Linked DNA regions of Rhinolophus ferrumequinum. The protein of the gene in region 2 interacts with the protein of the main gene of each other region in a pairwise test. Links are inferred from orthologs where the notes say so. Each region holds a gene or a part of one and is shown on either strand. Other genes may lie near its edges.

Region 1 (10,464 bases), on a different chromosome or scaffold from region 2:
GAGGCCATTGCGGTGCGCTCTCCTTGCCCCAGCATCCAGAGGGCGTCTGAGTTAGCCACCGTCCCACCAGCTCTCGTAAAAGGCATTTGGCAGTCATCCCCCAGCAAACCACTATCCTCACCAGCCTACGACGAATTTAGAATTTGCCTAACTCTCTCCCCCATTCCCCTTCAGACAAGGTCAGTTACCAAAGGGGCAGCCACTGCCAAGGCCGTTTGGACCTAGCAGGCGGGAGCCCTGGGTTCGTCTGCGGGGCTCAGGCCCCGCACCCTCGAACCCTACACGGGTGCAGGGACGCCCATACCACCGGGGAACCAGAGTTCCTCACCCGGGACTCTATCCGGGGCAAACCCCTGGGCGTCGCGCCCCGCGTGCCACACACCCTTGCACTGCGGTCCCAGCCCTGACCTGCGCCCAGGTTGGTGCTTGCCCCGAACAAGCACATTCTCTCTACTGGCTTCGAATTCACCAATTTTTTCTCCATTACTTAAACGTCAGGGAAGAGAGTCACTTCCTCCGTTTTGACCCTGTGTTTCCCTATTGGGGGTTGGGGATAAGTGGAGGAGTGGTTGGGGATTCAAATCTTGGGGCTCTACTCGGAGCAAACAAGCCATAAACTGGCATATTAATTCTCGTGACCAGATGATCTCGACAATTTGAAAGAAAGTGCCCTGGGGCACTGAGAGAGCTTTTCTGGTGACATTTCACTAGGGGTTGCGCAGACAGACGTGTGCACGGGGCAATGTGAGTGCCTGACGTGTGTGCACGTGTGCGCTGAGTGGCGATCTACCCGCGCGTTCTTGTGTGCGCGGCTTTGTGTGCCCACCCGCGTGCATCGCCAGCGCCTAGGCCGCCTGAGCGCGGCGGATGCAAGGCTCAAGCCCGCGGGTTCTGGAGGGGGAAATCACCCCCCGCAGAAGGTTTAAATTATTTCTCTCTGCGGGAGACCCGGCCTCGGCAGCCCTCGGCTGTGGATTTGGGCGGGAAAGGCCCAAACCCGAGCTGGGGAGCCGGGTGGAGCAGGGGTTGCGGTGCAAGCGACGATGGCGCCGCCGCGTGCCTGAAATATACTTCCAAGCCGCCGCAGCCGGAGCAGCTGTTCCCGGCGAAAATTTCCTCTGTTGCTGCTGGGGGATTGGCGGGGGCGAACAGGCCAGAGAGCCAGGTTCTTCCGAGATGAGTTTTGAGACCCTCCCCAGCCCTCAGCGGCCGAGTCCTGGCGGCTTCTCCAAAAGGCCCGGGAGTAATGAGAGTACCTCGCAGGCCCTTCTCCAAGGCCCTAACGGCCTCCGGGGGTTTTCGGGACCACTAGGCTCCGTGGAAATTTTTGAAATACATACTGTGTGTCCTCTGCTGTGTGTGCCTACAACGCGCAGGCCGGGCTGGTCCCCCGCTGCCGCAGGTTGGTGCCCCAGGCTGCGAGCGCTCGGCGCCAACTAAAGCCAGCTCTATCCGGACGCGGAAAGAAAAACGGGCTGCGAAAAAGCAAAAGGCCACGTCTTTGAATAAAAGTGAAATTAATTCGGACCCTTGGTTTGTCTGAGGATCCCGAGATTTTGAGGCTCGGACAGGGAGGATGGAAAACGATGGTACCAATCAGAGAGAGGGGATGGTACCAGATGGTATCAAAGAATGACAAGTAACAGTCTGCTGGGCAAGTGTCCTGCGTATGGGCACGCGCGTTTAATCCTTCCCCAGCTCTGTGGAAATTTTGCTTTTGTTGTGTTTTGGTTTTGTTTTCTGTTCCTGACTATTTATCGGCCTAGGGCGCTTGAGCCAGGCAGCCGGTCCAGCCCTCCTCCGTCCTAATCGGGAGAAGAGAGTTTAAACAAAATTGTGAGGCCCAGCAGCAGGGCAAAGACGTGGCCCGGTCACAATGGAGTCGCCAGTGCCCCATCTCCCACCTCCACCACCATATACACACCTTTAAATGTGGCTCTGTGTGTGTGTGTGTGTGTGTGTGTGTGTGTGTGTGCAGGCGCGCGTCTGGGCGCTGTATGAGAGACAAAAAGAAAGGCCTACAGGGGACCCGAAGCCCTGGCCGTGCCTTCCGCTATCACCCGGGCGCAGCCGGGGCCGCAGCTCCGCCTCCTCCGCTCCTCGGACTGCCGAGTCTCCACGCCGCGCGCGAGCCCTTTTTCTGAAAGATCTTTCCTTATCCCACGTCCGGTTTCTAAGAAAGCCTTGGCCACTGCGGGTCTCCAACTTGGAGATCTCCAAGGGGACCAGATCTCCAAGTTGGAGTCCCGGCGGCCCACGACGCAGCCAGTCTCCGCCCGGAGCCCCGCTCCGCAGAAGGACCGCGAGTACTCTCGGTTTCCGGCTTCTTCTTCCTCCCGGACCTTTGCCTCACAGACATATTTCGTTTTCTCTAAATCCAAACGCCCATCTTTTTCTTTTTTGAAAACGTGATAAAGGTAGTGGGAACTGTTAGTAAAGTGCGATGTTAGGTCGTCACCCTCTACCCCCATCCCGCGGGAGCTGCGGGAGCGAGGGAACCGCATTCTGGACACCAGGTCCTCACGTTCACGTCCCCGGACTGGTCTCTCCTTGCCCCAAGCCCTCACTTTTCTCCCCTCGCTGATGGCTGAGAACGGCGGAAAGAAAACTTCGAGCTGAGTCTCTGATTATGACCCCGCCGGATTATGTTGGTCCTTTTGAACATGCGACCCTAGGCCGGCTCCGGGCGACCTGGCCCCACTCCCTAGAGAAAATTACCCGGAACGGGGCGTCTGCCACGCGCAGTTAAATAACTTCTGCCTTTTCCACTGTCGGAAAAGTAAAATAAACTAACCTCCCAAGTTGTCGTAAGGCCTGAAAGAACTTCCACTAAACTGTGTGAAGGCCCAAGCGAGATTTTGACAACAAATAAATGCGGTGAGGAAATAGGGTCTGGCCAGAGATTACACATTAGCCACACGTTCCTTTCTGGATTGCCCACACAGGGTTCCGCGTGGACAGGCACCCGTGTCCAAGTACAGGGGAAGACTTGAGTGGGCGAAATAAATCTCCTTTTCATTTTCTTTTCATCGACTAATAAAAATAATTCCCCAGCACTAAACCCAAATACCATAACGGGCCACGAGAACACGGAGAATTCATAAAACTCGGTCTCTGCAGGTCACCCGCTAATCGCGTTATTATTAGCCTCAGGAGCATGGAAATTGAACTGTCACTGCCGAAAGAGAGAATGTAAGCGACAGCTGTCCCTCCTGTGGACGGCCAGTTTTCCAGCCCCCAAGCTCCTGGGCCCACAGCTTCCCCCATCCTGTGAGGGCCGGCTCGCTGACCCTGGTTTACTCCCCAGCCCTAGCCGGGTCAGAAGGAGCACCTCCAGAATAGTTTTAGAAGTCCTGGCTGGAACGTTTCTGAAGTTGCGAACGTTGCGTGTGTGTATGAGGGTGAGCGCCCGAGCAGGATTCTTCCGACCACAGCTGTTCCCCGGGGCTGTTTTGCACAGTTGAAATCTTGGCACCTAATACAAAACGTTAAGTTGTCCCCCACCCCCAGGATTCTGTTCAAATACAGACATTGACACCCGCCCCATGTTTTACGTGTTGTGTGCGTGTAATGTGCACAGATCCGAGACACAAATTAATCGTACCTCTATTCCCAAATACACAGAGGTGTGTGTGGGCCGTGAAGAGTGACCCAGGGCGCAGGGTAAAGGGGTCTGACATACGTTCCTCTTTCCATAAACGCCAACAACGTAGAAATATAATTATGCCCTCTCCTCACAGAGGAGGGAAAATTCAACAACTTGAGTCCCAGAACAGTCGGGGGGGGGGGGCCGGAGGCGAGGGCCTATGTTGAAACCTAAATGGGATAAACCGGGCATTTCCCGAAACGAAGGTGTCAAGCCAAGAATTCCGCGCCGGGTGTGCTGAGCTCTCAGAAGCGAGTCCCAGCCCCTAGGCGCTCCGGTCCTTGCCTGCGATCGGCGCCCCTCCTAAACCTAGGGCCCTGCAGCCCCACAGCTCTGGGCACCAGGAACACTGAGCTCTGCTCCCAGAGGAGGAGATGCGAGCAGGGAGGCCTCCTTGCTTGAGGATGGCGACGAGAATGCAAGGCGTAGGCCAGTGCCCTCAAATTGGTTCCGGCGAATTTGGGGGAGGCTCAAGGCATTTGCGCAAAAAGGAACCCGCGTTGGAGCGGGGCAGGGCGTCAGCGGCCAGGGCCTCCCTCCTCACCACTGCCCGCCGGCTGGCCGCCCGCCTCCCGCGGTCTGGCCCTATGCACTCACCCGGGTGAGGCTCCAGGCCGTGTGCGGCCGCGTCCTCGGTGTCTCCGAGTGGGCCCGCGGGGCTCAGCGCCTCCATGGACAGGTCCAGCCCCTTCTCCTCCCAGTCTCGCAGTTTCCGCTTTTTATTTGAGCCGATCAAGGCTTCAACGGAGAAGGCATGTGCTCGCGAGCTCAGGGCGACTGCAGATCTTCTCCTTTCACTCATCTTAGCCGCCCGCACCCGGGTCCCCGCTCGCCCCGCTACTGAGGGAGCAGCCCGCGCCCTCACGCTCCGAGCGCCCGCCGGGCCGGGCCCGGGAAAGGCGGCGGCTCAGCGGGTCCTCTGCACCTCCCCCTGAGCCCTCCCCCGCCCTCCGCCGCCGGCTGGGACCGGCGCCCCTAGCTGCCCCTGCGGCTACGAATGAGCGCCGGGAGCAACGCCGGCTCGCTGCATGAGCGCCCGCGTCCTGCTTCCCACCCACCCGGGCAGGCGCTCACAGGCTATACAGACTGGACTTCATCTTTTTTTATTCTCTCTCTCTCCTCCCTCTCCCTTTCTCTCCTCCCTCTCCCTCTTCCTCTCTTGGTCTTCCCGTCCTTCCTCTGATCCAAACTTCTGGGAAACTTTTTTTCTAAATTCCTCCCTTCCCGAGGAGCTGGGGGCAGGCGGTGCGCTCCTGTCCGTGGGGCGAGGGAGAGGGAGGGGGAGGAAGAGAAAGACTGAGGGGGAAAAAAGCCAGCCCCCGACCAATGGCGAGGAAGGAACAGGAGAAACCCTGAGAGCGCGGACCAATGAGCAGAGGGGAGAGACTGAGGCTCGGGCCAGGGCTCAGAGCCCGTCGGCTCGGGGTGCTCCTGGGCCAGCTTTAACCCCTGGCTTCCCGGTGTCCCGTGGGTTCGCCCTGGGGGGGAGGGGGGCGCCGAAATCGAGGTCGAGGTGTGCCGTTACAAACTCCTACCAGCCCCAAATCCGTACCTTTTCCTCCCAAATCCGCTAGGTCTCACAGATGCTCCAAGCCCAGAGTCATTTGAATTACAGATCTGGAATCTGGGGGCTCGGACAAAATGTCAACCTGTCCAAAACACCAGAAAACTACTCTGATCATCTCGCGCCTGTCCCCAGATGCTTTGAGATCTGCTGGTTCCACGCGGATTTCGTCACACAGGTTCTTATTTTCCTGTTGCAGGATTTCTTAACAACTCTGGTTAACGCAAAACGAAAGAAACAAACCAAAAAAAGCCCCATCACTATCCAGAATCTTGTAATTCAAAATCTAACGATTGTTTCCTCCTTCCAGCTCTACCTGGTGGAGAAGGAGACGTAGGCCCCTCAAAGCCGGAGGCCGCCGGTGGAGCGCCGGGCTTACCGCGCGCTCGGCAGGCGGATGCCGACTGGGCCCGCAAGCAGCAAATGCTGCCCTTCCCTTCCTTCCGCGCGGATGCTGAGCCGAGCTGCGCCCGCTCGGGGCGCTTGTTCTGGAGAACCCTCGGCGACCGGCTGGGCGAGAGCAACCAGGAACTTGGACAGAGTAGAAGAAGCTTTTTCAAAATTCCCTTCGAATCGATCACCTCGGGAGCCCGGCTCTCCCCGCCCCACTGATCCTCCCTCTAGGCTTTAAAAAAAAAAAAATCAAGACAGTGCGGTCGCCAGAGATTTCTAAAGGACTCAAAATCCAACACTTCTGGCCATTCTGATTTCCCATACCCCTTCCCAGGTTGCACTACTGGTCGCGGGCCGCACGACACCCGGGCCCAGCCCAGAGCAAGTTCAGAGGGGCCGAGAAGTGGATCCTACCGAGCTGGGAAAAGCTCTCGGGTTTCATGGACCACGGCCTCGCCACAGACTGATCGTCCCGTCCCAACGCCCTGGTCCAGACGCTTCTATCCCTGAGCAAAGGGGCAGGAAAGAGCCAGCTCCTGGGTGTCAGTGACCGACGAGAGGCCCAGCAGACAAGTCTCGCGGAGAGCCAGGCCTTAGCCAGCCTAGGGCAGAGGGGCCCAAGAGGCGTGTCACGGACCCCCCTAGAAGGAGCGTCCAGCGGTCCTCCCACCCTGGGGCAAGAAGGGAGGGCCTGTGAGGCCTCAAAAATGTCACATTCCCCTCCTGACCACTGACGGACCTGGGAAAATCCAGTCCTTGCTGTTGTAGTTGGAAGTACTCTAGTCCTGGAGGCAACAGTCAAGGGTGGTGCATGTACTTGGGCCTCTTAGGAGGAGAGCAAAAACAGAAAAGCCACTTTTGTAGGCCCCTCATATTGGGCTCCAGCCGCTAGGACAAGAAGCTAGCAGCCCAGCAAATGCAGAAAGAATAATGGAAAGACTCCTGGATAAGTGTGTTCCAGCCGGGCTCGGCCTCCTGGGCCTTCCAGGAGCCTGCCTCTCAGGCTTGGGGGTCCCCAAGAACCCTGGGATCTGGAAGTGGCCTGCTGAGCCCCTCCGCACCTCCCGCCACACTGCCTAGCAAACTGCGGGCACCAGGGTGACATGGTGCCATGACTCCCACCTCAGTCACCACTGGGTATTGCTTCCCGGAGCCGCTGCCCACGGTGACCACGCATTCACAAGCATGAGGCTTCAGCAAAGGAGCTGGAGACATGGCCAGCCAGGGGCACAGTTACCTTCCCCGCTGCTCAGACCTCTCTTTCAGCTCCCAGTGGTGGTGTCACTGCCTGCGCTGGAGCCTTCCCGGACCAGGCCCAGCAGGGTAGCGAGGGGGCTGGCCTCTGTCCTTTCTCAGCGTTTTCCTCCTCCCCCGTAGCCTGTCTCTTGCATCTCCCTCTGGCAGCCACTTGCGTTGGCCTTCTCGCACATACCTGGTTTGGATTGAACAGTAGACGCACCATAGGCCACACACCCTCCCTGAGGCCATGCAAGTTTCTCAGATAGAGGACCTACATGCAGACCCAGAAGGCCTGCACTTCCTAGGTGTCGGTAGACCTACAAAGAGAAGTGAGCAAAGCCTTCAAGGGCGGACATCTGCACCTCACCCCAAGCATGTGCTCAGCAGAGAGTACTTGGAGGAGCGCCTGCTCCCTTCCTACAGGTTACACAGAGGTTGTCGCCACCCTCATCCTGTACCTACACATATCCTAGAAAAGTAGGTTAGGCCATTAGGACAAATCGGACGTTAACGAAGCCAGGCTGGTTCAGAACAGTTGTGAAAATAGGACATTTTCTTTTTTGTGACTAGAGGTCAATCTGCATTGTTTTCCCCCAGTGACCTGCACTCCTTGGTGTGGGCCTGTGCTGAAGGGAAGGAGGTCTGGAGAAAGATTAAGCAGGAGGGTTTAATGTCTGTGACTTTGGTGTGTAATTTTATGCAATTGGGGAGAAGAAGAAAAAGAGGGTTGGGGGAATTAAATGTAAGAATCTGGGAGTATGGGATGCATTTTCCTTCCACTTATTACATCAAAAGGCTTTCAAAATCTCCTGTTACGCCAGTTTATCTCTCCTTTAGCTTTCAGGACTAAGAGTGGGGTCCCCCACTTATGAGGCTAATTCCTGAGGCAATCCCCAGGTTTGCCAGCCACAGCCTAGGATCCTGGGCGACATGTGGAGGTGGTGCAAGCATTTAAGGTCTATTCCAGCCCCGAAGCTGATTGACAAGGATCAAGCTGGAGGCCCCGCCTTACCCCCTGCAGGACCCCCGCCCCCACCCAAGTGATTTTTAAGCACCTGAGAAGTCAGGGGGGATCTGGGAGGCGGGAGGGGGAGAAGAGGAACTCACTGACCACCTGTAGGGACATCAGGGGATTGAGTGGCCACGCCTAGCCTCCACCAGCTGGAAAGCCAAGAAAGGAAGGCTGGCACAGTGACTGCTCACCTAAAACTGGCCATGACCGTGTCTTAATTTTCCTAAGACGAGACAGTTCTGCAGCCTAGGAACAAGCGCCCTAGAAAGGGGTCCCTAGGTACGCTCCACATATCTGTCCTTTCCTTCTGTTTTTCCACACTAACCACCTGAAATACCACCACTGCCAATACCCCAACACTTAGGGAATCCCCCAAACGCTGTGATTTTGCAGCTTCGAGTAACTGAAAACAATGTTTAAAATAGTAGTTGGTTGACCAGCAGGTCGTGTTAGGCCGCCCTTGAACACGCAGGCAGGACACCCGGTGGGGGGCTTAGGAATGACAACGAATTTGGCCTGACCAGGCAGGTACATAACATGATGAGACGACTACAGTGTGGGAGGAAACACTGGGGAGTCCAAGGCAGGTGGAGCCTGGCAACCAGGTCCCTGTCCACTCTAAACTGTGACCTCAGGCGAATCAGTTCATGGCCTGTGCCTCAGTTTCCCTGTCCGCAGGATGAAGGGGTCCTAAATATTTTATAACCGAGGGAGCAAGGCAGACAAGATAATCGGTGGGAGGCTGGACAGACTTGAGGTCTTAGTATCGCTGTGATCGAATCTTCGGGGAATGTGAGGCCAACGTACCCACTTTTCACTTCTTTTCCCAAATTGGCGCCCGGTTATGGGGCGGCTTAACTGGCCTGGAGCCCTCGGGTGGGCGTGGGAGGGAGCTGATTTCTGGAAACGCCTGCGCAATACCAGCCCGCGGGTCCACTCCTGTAGACCGTATCTCGAGTCGCCGGGAGCTGCGGGACCGTCGTGCGTCGTTGACTATTCAACCACCCCCTCACACTTTAAAAAAATAAAAGTCCGTGGGGGCGAAAGGGTCTTTAATGATGTTTTCTTGTTTTCGCGAAATAAAATCTTTTGTTTTTATTTTAAACCAGCAGCGTGCCCTCCTCTCGGTCCTTCCAGATGTTTGCAATAAAATCGCAGGTTTTGCCTTTGGGACTGGAAATAAAATTTAACGGCCTTCACTCTGTAATTATTCTCTTAGCTCGCCCTTCATAAATTTATCTGCTTTCTATCGGCGTTGGGGTAGGGGGCGAGCGAAAGGGGAGAAAGCCCCGATTTTATATTTGTGACTATAAAAAAGCGCCACCCGGTTTCCTGGCCTTCGGCGGCCGCGGTGTAGCCCGAAAAGCCTGGCCGGGCGGGCGGCAACATTGCGCTATTGTTCGCTGACTCGGGTCTGCCCAGGAGCCGGGCCCTCCACAAAGGGGGCCTTGTGCGGCCAGGCCCGGAGCGGCTGCGCCCAGGAGGCGAGGAAATCCTGTTCCCCCAGGCCCAGCTCCTCTCTTCCCTGTGCAACCCGGCCGCCTGACCTTGGCCCTTCGGTGTGCGCCTTTGGCGCCGGGCGCCAGCCGGGGCTCTGCCAGCCTTCGCAGGAAGCGAAACCTCCAGCCAGCGCCGAGCCCACTGAGCGCGAAGGAGGAGCTCGCCCCAGGATACCCAGGCGCTCCGGAAAGGCCAGCCTGAGGCTCCAGGCCAGAGGACTCACTGGAAGGCCCCCCCAAGGAAGGCCCCTCTCCTTGGCTTGGCCTGGTCTGGGCTGCAGGGGAACATTCGACACCCACCGGAGCACAGGGTTGCTTGGCAACCCCAGGCAACTCAACCCAAAGTCAACGGATTTTGACGCCACCAGCGTGACCCCACTCCGGAAATAAATGTGGGTACATCAGTAACTACTATATACTTGTGTAGGAAGCTTAGAAGTACAAGGTCGGTGCACGTATTTTGGGTGACTGCACAAAGCAACAGTGTACGTAGCCAGCAGCACACACATGCACGTGCACACCATGTACAGCTACGCGCGGTACTCGCACACCTTTCTAGAAGCAGACATGCATGTAGAAACAACACATGCTCGGGTACACAGAGTCACACTCAGGCATGTGGGGACATATCCTGGCCACACACTCAACTGGCCCCCAAACCTGCAGGAATCTATGTGTGCATTCGGCAACGTGCTGCGTGCCCTCCACCCCGGACTCCTCCACACCCTGGCCTCTCCCTGGCAGGAAGCTTAACCCATGTGGCTGTCCCGTCACCTCCTCTCCTTCATCTACACAGGGCTACCTGCGTGGTCAAGGTCACTTAGGTGACAAAAGAAAGGAAACATGCTAAGCTCCCAGCCTTGAGCCCTCACCCCTTGAGAGAGCCACCCAGTACCTGAGCAAGGCCAGGGTGTTCTCCAAAGATGGGGAGACCCAGCAGGGTCTGGCAGACTGGGCAGGGATAAATAGTGGCGCCAAGCAGGAGCAGCCGGGTTTTGTCCTGTTTTGCTTTTAAGGGCATGCAGCCCCTTCCACCCTCCAGCCAGCCCGCCTCTGGCCAGAAAGCCAACCCCTTGGAGGCAGAGCTTTCCTAGGCAGGGCATTCTTTGGA
Region 2 (10,879 bases):
AGCGTGGCCCGTATGGCCCAGGGGCCTCACCTGCGCCTCGGACAGCTGCATCTTCTGGGCCAGCCTCCGGCGCTCCAGGGGGCCCAGGTAGCGCTGGTGCTGGAAGGAGCTCTCCAAGGTGCTGACCTGCTGGGCCGTGAAGGCTGTCCGGACACGCGGGGGCCGCGTGCTGTCCGCCTCCTTGCTCAACCCTGGGAGAGGACAGAAGGGCGCTGAATCCATTTGGCTACCGGTGCGGCCCACATGACCCGTGGCCCTCACTTGGCAGGTGCCAGAGCTCTGTGACTGCAGATGGCAGGCACAGAGATAAGAAATATGACTGGGGTGTCAGGAAGAGCAGACCGCCTTCCCTTGCCTCATTTTTAGAAACAGCCTCCACTGCTCTACAGTCCCACTAGGTGTTGGCACAACTGTCAGTCAAGGTGATAGCCCCACCTCCCAGACAAGTGTGGAATCTGGTCCGGAGACGTGGTTCAGGACACTGGCAGGGACGTCGCTATTGCAGAAGGATGACAGGGATGGAACAGCAGTTCTGGCACAGACCCTTCACCCGCTGCCCCAGAGCACCTGGTCCCTTCCTGAAGGGTGACCTCCACCAGCCCCACATCCACCCAGAAAGCAGTTTCTTTTGCCTGCAGACAAGGAACTCCCTTCACTCACCAGGTGAGGGCTGGGTGGCAGTGAGGTGGAACCCATTCGATGCAAAGGCCTGAGGGGCTGGGAAAGCAGCCTTGGTCACCATGAACCAGGCTGTCACGATCTACTGTGTGTCTGGTAAGTCTGCTTTTGAAATAGGAAGGCAGCTTCCTAGTGTTGAGTTAGTCAGAAAGGTCAGCTGCTGGAGCCGGGTGTTTCACAAATGTCGGCCCTCAGGTACCACCTGGGGGCCACCGATGGGCACGGAGCCTTGGCAGGCAAGCCATAAAGATCCGCATTAGCAGCAACAAGGGACTGTCCCTTTCACGGCACATGCGCAGTAAGGTCAACCATATCCCTAAAGTGACCTTTCCCTAATTTAAATATTAAAAATCACGCCCAGGTGTGGAAATTTACGATGCTAAAGAGAGGCACGCAGGCAGCGTGTAGCCGCACTGCGCAGGCGCCAAGAAACCCCGCCTCCACAGGCCTGTACACAGCCTTACCCCGCCCAGCTCCCTTCAGCCCGGCCCCAACTTCTCTCCGAGAGCCGCCGGAACCTTCCCTTTCTCGGTATTGGTTCCCTTGTGCACAAACTTAATAAACCTTTGCCTCTTGCCTGAAATTTCTTGTGGTAATCTCTCTGATTTCCATCCTGGGAAATCGCAAGAACCCCGGGCGCCGGTAACACTTTCTAATTTCTAAATGAGGAGATGAGGGATGGCACTAAGCACCCCCACGTGGTAAGGTCAGCCGGCGTGATGTCTTCACTTAACACAAGTCTGACCAAGATGCCTTCGGTTGTTTTAGGGGCAGCAGGTTTTACAATATTAGTTTTAACACTTACCTGGAAGTGTTCACCAGACAAGAGGCGCACACACTGCCTAAGGACGAGGGGCCGGGGTGCTGGAGCCTAAGCGGTCAGCATCAAGGGCTCTGATGCAGGGTGATTGGGTTTTGGAGGGGGCTACTGGTTGCAGAGAATAAATTTAAAAATTCACCTCATCAAAGTACAAAATTACTCCATAAAGATTATTTAAACTTTTTTAAAAATGAAAACTTAGATAACATCAACCCCCACTTCAACCATGCCTGTCTTTAAACCTAAACCAATGATTAAGTCACAAAGAGTAAAAAACAAACCGAGAAAGTGCCATCAGCAAACGACAAAGGGTCAGATAAGGCTTAGGAGCCACAGAGACTCCCAGAGATGAACGGGCCGAAGCCGGAGAAATTCACAAATTCACACATGCAGAAACGCAGAGGCTGTGGCTTCAGGCAGAGTCCTGGCTGCCCCTGAACCAAACCTGCAGGACTGCAGGCGGACTGTGGACTGGCCAAAGTCTAGATGCCAAACTGAGGTGCCAGCTTTGTGGGGGGGACCACAACCACCCCCATGACCTGGGCAGATGTCACAAGCTTTAAGGCATACTTATCTGCGACCTTGTGACACTTGTAGAAATGGGTCCAGGACTATTATGGACGCAAAAACCAAGCAAACAAAGGTGCTAACGTCAGTGTCCCCGTGGGGACCCAGGCGGCAGGCCTGGGTGGGGGCAGGGGGCCAGCCCCTCTAGGAGGAGGCTGGAGGAGCCCCAAGAGTGAGGAGGGAAACCCATTGTGGCTTGTGCTTCCGAGGGGAAGCTCACTTGCCAGAGGGTAAGGCGGGACCCCAACCCCGGCCCTTGGGTCCCTTGTCCCGCCCAAGCACACGGGATGTGGCAGGGGCATGTTCCCTTCTCTCCAACTTCCATCCCAATCTGGGAAGGAAGGGACCCCCCCACACTCCCAGACCTACCAGCTGTGGACATCCCTGGCACAGACGCTTCTGAGGACTTCAGCTCCTCCACGCCCACGGTCTGAGGGGCCTCCCAACTGCTGGACACCCTGGCTGGGACAGAGAGGTCCCCCCAGGAAACGTCACCAGGTCTGGAAGTGTGCAAGCGGCCCACATGGCTACTCTGGGAGAGCCAGTCCACACAGCCAAAGCTCGAGGTCTGCTTTCGGCTACCGGGCAGTGTGGAGGAAGGATGCATGACTGGATGGTGGGGGCCAGGCGTGGGGTCTGCTGTGGGTTGGGTGGCAGGCGGGGCGGGCTGAGCACTGGATCCGCCTCAGGTTTAGCAGGGCAGGGCTGCATTTATAAGCTCCAGAGAAGCGGGTGGGAGGTGGGTTTGCGTAGATGGCTCAAATCCCCCCAGATAAGTAGCATCTAATTGCCTTCAATTCAGAGGCACAAAGGAGGCCATTCACACCTCCCCCGGCTCCAAGATGTCTGGGGGAGGGGCGGGGCTGCGGTCAATGGTTAAGGGAGCTGTGGTGGCTGGGGACTTGTTACATCCTTTCATCTCTCCCCACCCCCACCAGGACTGGCCTAGGCAGCAGGAAGGTGAGGATGGCCCCCTCCCACCTCTGCTCCCAAGCTGGGGCCTTGTCCTGTGGGGTGCCAGACCATCTTCTCTCCCCTAGTTGGTTCTCCCACCTGCCCTGTGGGTCTGCAGTGCTGAGGTGACAACTGTGCAACTGAGAGAGAGGTCGCTTCAACTTGGGGGAGTCGGCATCCTGCTCTCAGGATGGGGTGGGTTCGACCAGTGTCTGCTGTGTCCAGGCTGCCTGGCTGGGCCGGAATGTAAGGCAGACATTCCTGGTAGGTGACTGCTACAAGCCAGGCATGGCAGGGAGGGTCTGCTCCAGGCTCCCACAGGCCCTTCTGTCTCGTCACTCCCAGCCCCTCTTCTGGGTTTCGTCCCGGTGCCACAAGTTGCCTCCAGATTTGGGTGACACAAAGGAGGAGGGAGGAGGAGGTCTGCTGGCTCAGGGCTGGGCCACCTCCCTGCGCTGTTCCCAGGAGGAATCCAGCAGGAAGGCCAACAGACTCACCACCTCTGGGACAGACTGTAACTCAGTTGCCACTTTTGTGACAGGGCACTATGGAGCCTGAGCTTCAGGGGAGTGCCTGGAGGTCACCCTGTCCCTGTGGCTGCTTCTCTCCTGAACTGGCCAGGTCCCGTCCAGGGCCCGGTACTCTGGGGGAGGCAGCAGGCTCAGCCGGGTGGACACCGTGCGGTGGTTGCCCCTCTAACCAGGCTGGTCCAGCCTCCTCTGGACCTCTATGCCAACCTTGGCCGACCACATCTGTCTCCTGGACAAGACCAGCACAAGCATACCGGGTGCAGTCGAGGCAAAAACCCACCGCCCGGATCTGAGCACCCCTAGAATGCCAGCTAGGAGTTCGCGTGCGTCCCCGGGGCCGGAGTCAGGTGCAGGCGCTGGTCCAGCCCCTGAGCCTATGCCGAGGCTTTGGTGCAGACGGTTGGGTCAGCAGCTTGGGCTCCTGGGGCGCCAGCGCCAGTCTGGGCCCAGCACCGACGACCACCCCCGCGCCCCCAGCCTGTGGAATCAAAGGGCCCGCGGGCCTCGCCCTGGGATTAACACCCCAGCCCCGCCTCCCCAGCCTCTCGGAAGGGACGGGCCAGGGATGTGGGAGCCGGACTACCACCGGCACAGCGGGAACCGGCCCGTGTTGGCCCGTGGTCTAGGTGAAAGGTCGGGGACTGACCGCAACGCCTCTGACTCTGACTGGGGTGTTCCTCCGGCCTCTGCACCGACCGCATTCGGTCACTGGACTCCGCGGGATGAAGCTAGGGATTTGAATCACTCGCCACGTGTCTCGCGGAGTGTGTGGTAAGAGCTGCAGCTTGCGATTAGCGGGGCGCCCCCCCTCACTGCGCGGGGCCCCGGACGCGGGTGTGGCAGGCTTCTGGCGCCAACACGACATGGACGTTCTGCTACCTGGGGACAGAGGCCCGTCCGGTGGGGGCCTGCGCAGAGCTCCTCCGGGGACAGACAGGTTGGGGGTGCCTCACAAACCTGGCAGAAGGAAGTATCCCCCAGGACAGCTCCACGTGCTCAGAACAGGCCTCTAGATAAAGAGCCACATTTCCTGGGATTGCCCAGCTATGCGCCCAAAGCTGTCATTTAGGAAATGTCGGCGTTCATGCGCACCGCTTCTGCACTTGGCATCTTTCCATTTCTAGTCTTTAGGGCCGGGCCTTTGGCCTCTCGACCACATACCCACACCTCCCGCAGCAACCCAATTGTGCTGCGCGACTTCCTGTCTAATCCCGGACTCTCTAGCGGCCCTCCGCCTTCACTTTCCCAGATTCCCGGCCCCCCCCACACACCTGAACACCTCTCCTGAGTCCAAAGGTGACGGCGCCTCTGCAGGTCAGATAGCCCCCCTCCTTCCGGAGTCCTCCCCTCCAGCTCCAGGCTGCTGGCCCCCTTCCTGCCCAGTGGTCCCTCCCTCATTCCCTTCAGCCCTGCCACGGGCTCCGGCACGCTGTCCTCTCACCTGACTGGCTCCCGTCCAGTGGGGTCTCCCGTCCCCTTCTGTAGTCTGGGTCCCTCCCTCTAACCCGGCTGTTCGAGACAGTGACAGCTGTCACCCATGCCCGGCCTCAGCTTCCTCAATGGGCTTAGGATCAGCTTTTGGGGCTGCCGGGACCTTGCCCTTCCCCTGGCTCTGGGACCCGCACTCCGGGTTTACTACTCCGCAGCAGCCCCTAGGCCGTCTTCCTGGGAGACCCCGTGATAGCATGCGGGCGTGGCCTGTGCTCTCGGCCGCGGGCCTCTATGTCGGGGCGACATACTCCCAAACCCTGCGCCTGCAGGCGACGGAGTCCCCTCCCACCTGTACCTGCGGGTGGCGGGGCCTAGAGTTGAACGGTGGACGCGCTCCCCACGCTCTCAGTGCCGTCTGTCACTCGGAGGCCCAGCAGTCCCGCCCCAACACGCTTCCAAGCTCACTCCTCCCACCACGGGATTTCCGGCGTCCCGCACCTGGCCCTGGGCGCCTGCAGTCTCCGGCCGTCCCATTCTCGCCGGCGCTCACTCCGTCCGCCAACCCCACCTCCACCGCGGATCACTCACGGGATCGGCTCCTCCCCCTCCGCTACGGCCACGCCCCTCCCTGCCGCCTTGCCCTTCACAGTCCCCTTGGACCCCTCCTCCTTGGGTCTCCCAACTGTTTGTTTGTGGAAAGATCCTAGGTGTGAGTGTGGGGGCAAGGTGGGCATGACCCCACCCTAGCTGGGTGAGTCTCAGGAGAGAGCACCTAGTGGGTGGAGGTGCGGGTGTCGAATTACTAAGGCTGCAGGTGTGATTAGGTAGATCCCCTCCCCCCAATCTGTAAAGGGTTGCCCCTGGGGACGGGCTCACTTCCGTCTACCTGTCGGCGTCTCCCTGTCCGTTGCGTGGGCGCCTCTCCCACGTCCCTCCTTTCTTATGGCGCCCAGGTCCCTCTCCCCAGGGTAGAGCCTCTTTGCCTGCTGCCGCCACAGGACACGTGGAGAGTGGGCCCTGCCCCCCTCTGCCCACCTCCATCCCGCCCTTGGAAGGATGGACTGGCAGCGGCAGGTGGGCGATGGGAAGGGCCTCACCACTCCCACAGGCGAGGCAAGGCGCCGGAGGCCAAACATGCTGTGGGAAGTGGGGGTTCCAGAGCTCTAGCAGAGGGACAAACGAGACGAGGAAGAAGTGCTGTTGGGGGGCGACCCATGGCAGGTCCCCCTAAGCCAGCTGCCAGCTTCCGGCTTAGGCCGGTGCTGCCAGCATAGTGCGTTGGAGCCACCCACTCAGGCCAGTGCTGGCTCTGCCCCGGAAAACACGCTCCTCTGAAGGAAAGGAGTGCGGAAGCGGAAGCGAACACACGTCTTTAAGGACCAGCTATGCTGGACGCCGTTTAAAGGCACAGTAATGGAATGTGTTCTTTTTAAAAAGGATGAACAGATAGACATGAGACCTGCCTGTACAACTGTGACGACAGCGACATCAGGCCTGAATCGCCTCAGGTCACTACTGGAAGGTCTCAGACTTTGGTGAAAGGAATGGGATTTGGCCATCGAATTAAATGTAAATTTAAAGGCAATATTCTGAAGATAGGACCTTAAACCAATGACAACACTAGAATAGAATAGAATTTTACGTAAGGACTAAATGTGGAATCAGGTCCATTGTATCTCTAACTGTCTTACAGACTGCTGACTGGTCCTAAATGATGTGTGTTCATAAGCTGATTTAAATTAATCTAGGTTTAAAAACCAGTTTCTCAGTCGCACTGGCCACGTTTCGAGCTCAATGACCACACGTGGCTGTGGCAATGGACAGTGCTGCTCCCGAATGGGTCTGTCCCAGGGTCTGCTGCAGTGTGCTGCTCCAGACACAAAGCATGCGTGTGCCCGGTGTTATCAGAATCAGCAGTGAACCAGACACCTCAGAAGACAGGAGACACTCGTGAAAACACATCTGCTCTGGTACCAGCCCTGAAGGGAACGGATGTGGGTGGGAGGCCCAAAGCCCCGGGTGCTTTGGGAGGGGGAAGGGAGAGGGGAGCTGGGCTCCAGCCCACTGGCTGCCCACACAGAAGCAAAGTGACCCCAGAGCGTGCTACTGCCACAGCCCCTCTCGATGGGACAAATGGTGACAAGAACCCAGGTGCGGTCTTGGTGTGGGCCTGACTGTCCTGAACACACAGTGGTGTGGCACAGAAAGGACACGGGATAAAGGGGAAAAACCAAGCCAGCCCATGTCTCTGAAGCTGCACCATGGTCACTGCTGGTCATCGAGCTGGTGAGGGACATCAGTGATGTGCACACTTCATGGGCCTCCACGCAGCACAGAAGAGAGTAAGGTTGTTGGTCACCAGGAATTAACACCAGGAAGTGAGAACCTGCTATAAAGATGAGCTAGATGGATCCACCAAACAACTGGATGGTGGGTGTCCAGTCATCAAGGGGGCAGCGAGCACTGTAACTGTACATGCCGTAAGACAGCCACCGAAGGGTGCCAGCGTCACCCACTAGGACAGCCACTGTCAAAAAGACAGAAAATACAGGCTGGGGAAACGTGGAGAGGTGGGCACCCTGTGCACTGTGGGCGGGATGTGAAACGGGGCAGCCGCGGGAAGGCAGTGTGGGGGCCTCAGAAAACCCAACACAGAGCTGCCAGGTGACCAGCACCCCCCTTCGGGGTGTTTGTCCAAGGCAACTGAGAGCAGGGCCTGGACAGGTACTTGCACCCACATTCACAGCAGCACGAGTTACATGGCCAAGAGGTGGGAGCTCTCCCTCCCCCTTACCTCCTCTCCGAAGCGCCAGGGGCCTTGGGCCTCCCACCGACATCCATTCCCTTCAGGGCTGGTACCAGAGCAGATGTGTTTTCATGTGTGTCTCCTGTCTTCTGAGTTGTCTGCTAATGGAAACATTACACAGCCTTCAAGAGGAATGACGTTCCGACAGGCCACCACAGAGGGACCCGGGGACATTGTGCACAGTGCAATAAGCCAGTCACCAAACGACAAGCACAGTGTGATTCCACTTAGGAGGATCTTAGGAGTCACATTCAGACAGGAAGTGGCGTGCGGATTCCCAGGGGGAGGGGCAGTGAGTGTCTAATGGAGACAGTTTCAGTGTGGGAAGATGGAGGTCTGGGATGATGGTGGTGACAGCTGCACATCACTGTGTGCTTGATGCACTTGAAAATGGGTAAGGCAGTGAACTGTATGTTGTGTATTTTACCACAATAAGAGAGAAAGGTATGAACCTGACCAGTGTCCCTTAGTGAGACGGAAGAGGCTTCTAATCTGAACACTGAAGAGTGGTCCCAGGAGGCCCTCCTGGAAACATTGCCCAGCACTCCTGGTCAGGCACAGGGAGATGTGTCAGAGCCAGGGACAACAGTGCCACCACGGTGTGTTCACCTCACGTGCTGAGACACGCCTATGGTGTCCAGTATGACAGAGCAGGACTGGGACACACCTTGCCCCACAGATGAGAGCTGCAGGCACAGGGAGTCTCTGGTAGGGCCAGTGAGAAGCAATTGGGGCTTCGCACAGCATCAGGAAGGGAAGTGGTAAAAATGGTAGAGAAACTTGCCGCGGCGCTGGGGCTGGGGCTGGGGCTGGGGCTGCGGCGGGCGTAGGGCACTGCACAGCCCCCATCTCTCCCCTGCAGACCTGTAGCTGTCCAGGAAGGAGTGTGCGGATTCATTACCCCAATGGGGCGCCCCAGGAAGAAGCCGGGGACACAGCCCCTAGTCGACGTGGCAGGAAGGCAGATGGATTTTCTTTGGTGTCCTCAGATACCTCACACTTGATGCCTTAGGTGGTTTCTTTCCGTCCTCAAAACAGCCCTTTTGAGGGCCAAGGGTTCCCGGTGACGTGATGGGCACACCAATGCCAGTCCCCACCCCTGGGGATTGCGGGTTTGCTGGGATGAGGTCTGCTGTCTCAGACCCCCGACCTGCGGCTCTGACATTCCAGGTTGTGTGGGGGGTGGGGAGATGTTTGTAAACTGGCTTTGGGCAGCTCTGAGATACACGGGACTTCAGCAGACAGCCTCAGTGTGTCGTAAGAGGTGACACTTGGAGTCAGTTTTTTGGGTTTGGTCTCTCCCAGAGCCCTCAGGTCCTGCCATCAACACACAGCTGAAGGGCAGGCTCAGCTAGGTCTGGAGAGAGCGCCCTGGCCCCCATGGGGGACTTTGCAGGCAGAGGGTCCAACTGGGGTCGCTTCACCCACAGATCCCGAAAAGGGCCTGGGGGAGGGGCTGCAACCCACTGGCTGCTGAGGCCTCAGGAAGGTTGGAACCAGAGGGCCAGGGAGGGAGGGCCCATCCCTTACTGAGCCCATGGCCCAGGGCAATCACTTAAGTCCCTCTGAATGAGCCCCTAGTTGGTGAAATGGGCCCCTCCCACTCGACCCCGGCTTGTATTGTTATGCTGGTGAGGCGCCTCAGGCTACTTCCTCCCTCCACCTGGGGAGGGGTCCCACAAGCCCCACCCAGTTCCCTCTCAGCCAGACCCACAGGTCGGGGTGGGGCCCTCAATTACGATTTGAAAAATGCTACCCGAGTGATTTTGGTAGTCTTAAAATTACAGGGGCCCTGGCCTCAGCCAAAGTCTAAAGTCTCAGACGCCCAAGCCCCTAACACCCTGGCCCATCCAGGTCAGTCACCTCCCTGGGGACAGAACCAGCCCCTTCCCTACGTGCGCCTTAGCTCTCCTGCCTGTGTGTTCCAGACCTCTGAGTCCCGTTGCCCAGACTCAGCTCAGGACAGCGGCCGGGAGTTGGTCTGGCCAAGGTGAGACTTTGGGAACACCCTACCTGCGCAGCGCTGGGCGCCTATGGTGGGGGCCAGAGACAGCTCACACCTCCCCCATAGAATTAGGCAGACCTGGGCCACCCATTCCCAGCCCCCCATTCTGCTGGTGGAGCCCAGCGCTCCCTTGTACCACTCAGCAGGGCTGCGTGAAAGGGTGGAGTTAGTGCTTGCCTGCCCCGCCCCCGTGGCTGGTCTGTGTTGGCCGGCGAGTTTGGTAAGATCTGGAAGACCCCAATATCTCAGGTTCCAGGGGCCAAGAGGCTCCTCCCCCTGGAGACTGGTCTCCTTGGGAAAGCCCTGGTTACCATCCCACCCGGACAACAGGCCACCCGGTACTCTCAGCCCCACCTTAGGAACCCAGGCCATTTTAACCGGCTCCGACCTCTGCGGGCCTTACCTGCAGGGGGATGTTCTTACCTAAGGGGCCCTGCACACATTCACCGGATTAAATCGCGAAAAACAACCTTTTTATTGAACGTACCTAGGTGTGGGGGAGGGCAGCGGGACGGGGTCAGGGCCGAGGGGGGCGTGGCGCTACGGAAGGGACAGGCCTCACTCACGCCGGTCCGCCAGGACGCCCCGCTCAGCGGCGGCGCTGCCCAGGATGAAGCCCACCGCCAGGGACACGGTCTGGTCGAAGGAGCCGCGCAGCTGCTCCACGTGCTGGTTCAGGGTCAGCAACTGGTCGCGCAGCGGGCCCAGGATGGCCACGATGTCGCCCAGGTGCCCCAGGGTTTGCAGGAGGGCGGCGTTCAGCGACGGGGGCGCGGACTGTGGAGGCGCTTGATTCTCTGGGCGGCCAGGCGGCGAGTCGGAGTCTTCCCAGGCGGCGTCGGAGAGCGGCGGCGGCGGCGGGGAGTCGGGGCCGTGGGAAGGCGCGTGATCCTCTGGGCGACCGGGAGCGGGGGTAAAGGTGGGGAGCGTCGTCGGGGAGCTGGGGGCGCGGGAGGCATCCGCAGACTTGGCCGGAGACGAGCTGAACCTGAGCGTCCAGGCTGGGTCTGCGTCGGGGTCGCGCTCAGCTAGTAGCGGCGGGGCGTCTGGAACGCGGAGCGGGTGGTGGGGTCCGGCACCCGGGGCAC

The links.
Region 1: the proteins of VENTX (region 2) and TBX15 interact in binary tests that used the Homo sapiens proteins (3 or more experiments, as listed by UniProt). The two-hybrid records come from large-scale screens. The link is inferred for Rhinolophus ferrumequinum from reciprocal best matches to the Homo sapiens genes VENTX and TBX15.

What each region holds. Positions count from the first base shown.
Region 1 is NC_046305.1:48,464,602-48,475,065, forward strand, and holds the start of TBX15 (T-box transcription factor TBX15), read right to left. Parts: upstream 4,906-10,464; 5' UTR 4,449-4,905; coding exon 4,244-4,448; intron 1-4,243. UniProt on the Homo sapiens protein: Probable transcriptional regulator involved in the development of the skeleton of the limb, vertebral column and head. Acts by controlling the number of mesenchymal precursor cells and chondrocytes.
Region 2 is NC_046299.1:300,584-311,462, forward strand, and holds the start of VENTX (homeobox protein VENTX), read right to left. Parts: upstream 4,201-10,879; 5' UTR 4,196-4,200; intron 3,160-4,195; 5' UTR 3,119-3,159; intron 2,528-3,118; 5' UTR 2,448-2,527; coding exon 2,435-2,447; intron 192-2,434; coding exon 31-191; intron 1-30. Other genes in the region: UTF1 (undifferentiated embryonic cell transcription factor 1), read right to left, coding at 10,350-10,837. UniProt on the Homo sapiens protein: May be involved in ventralization.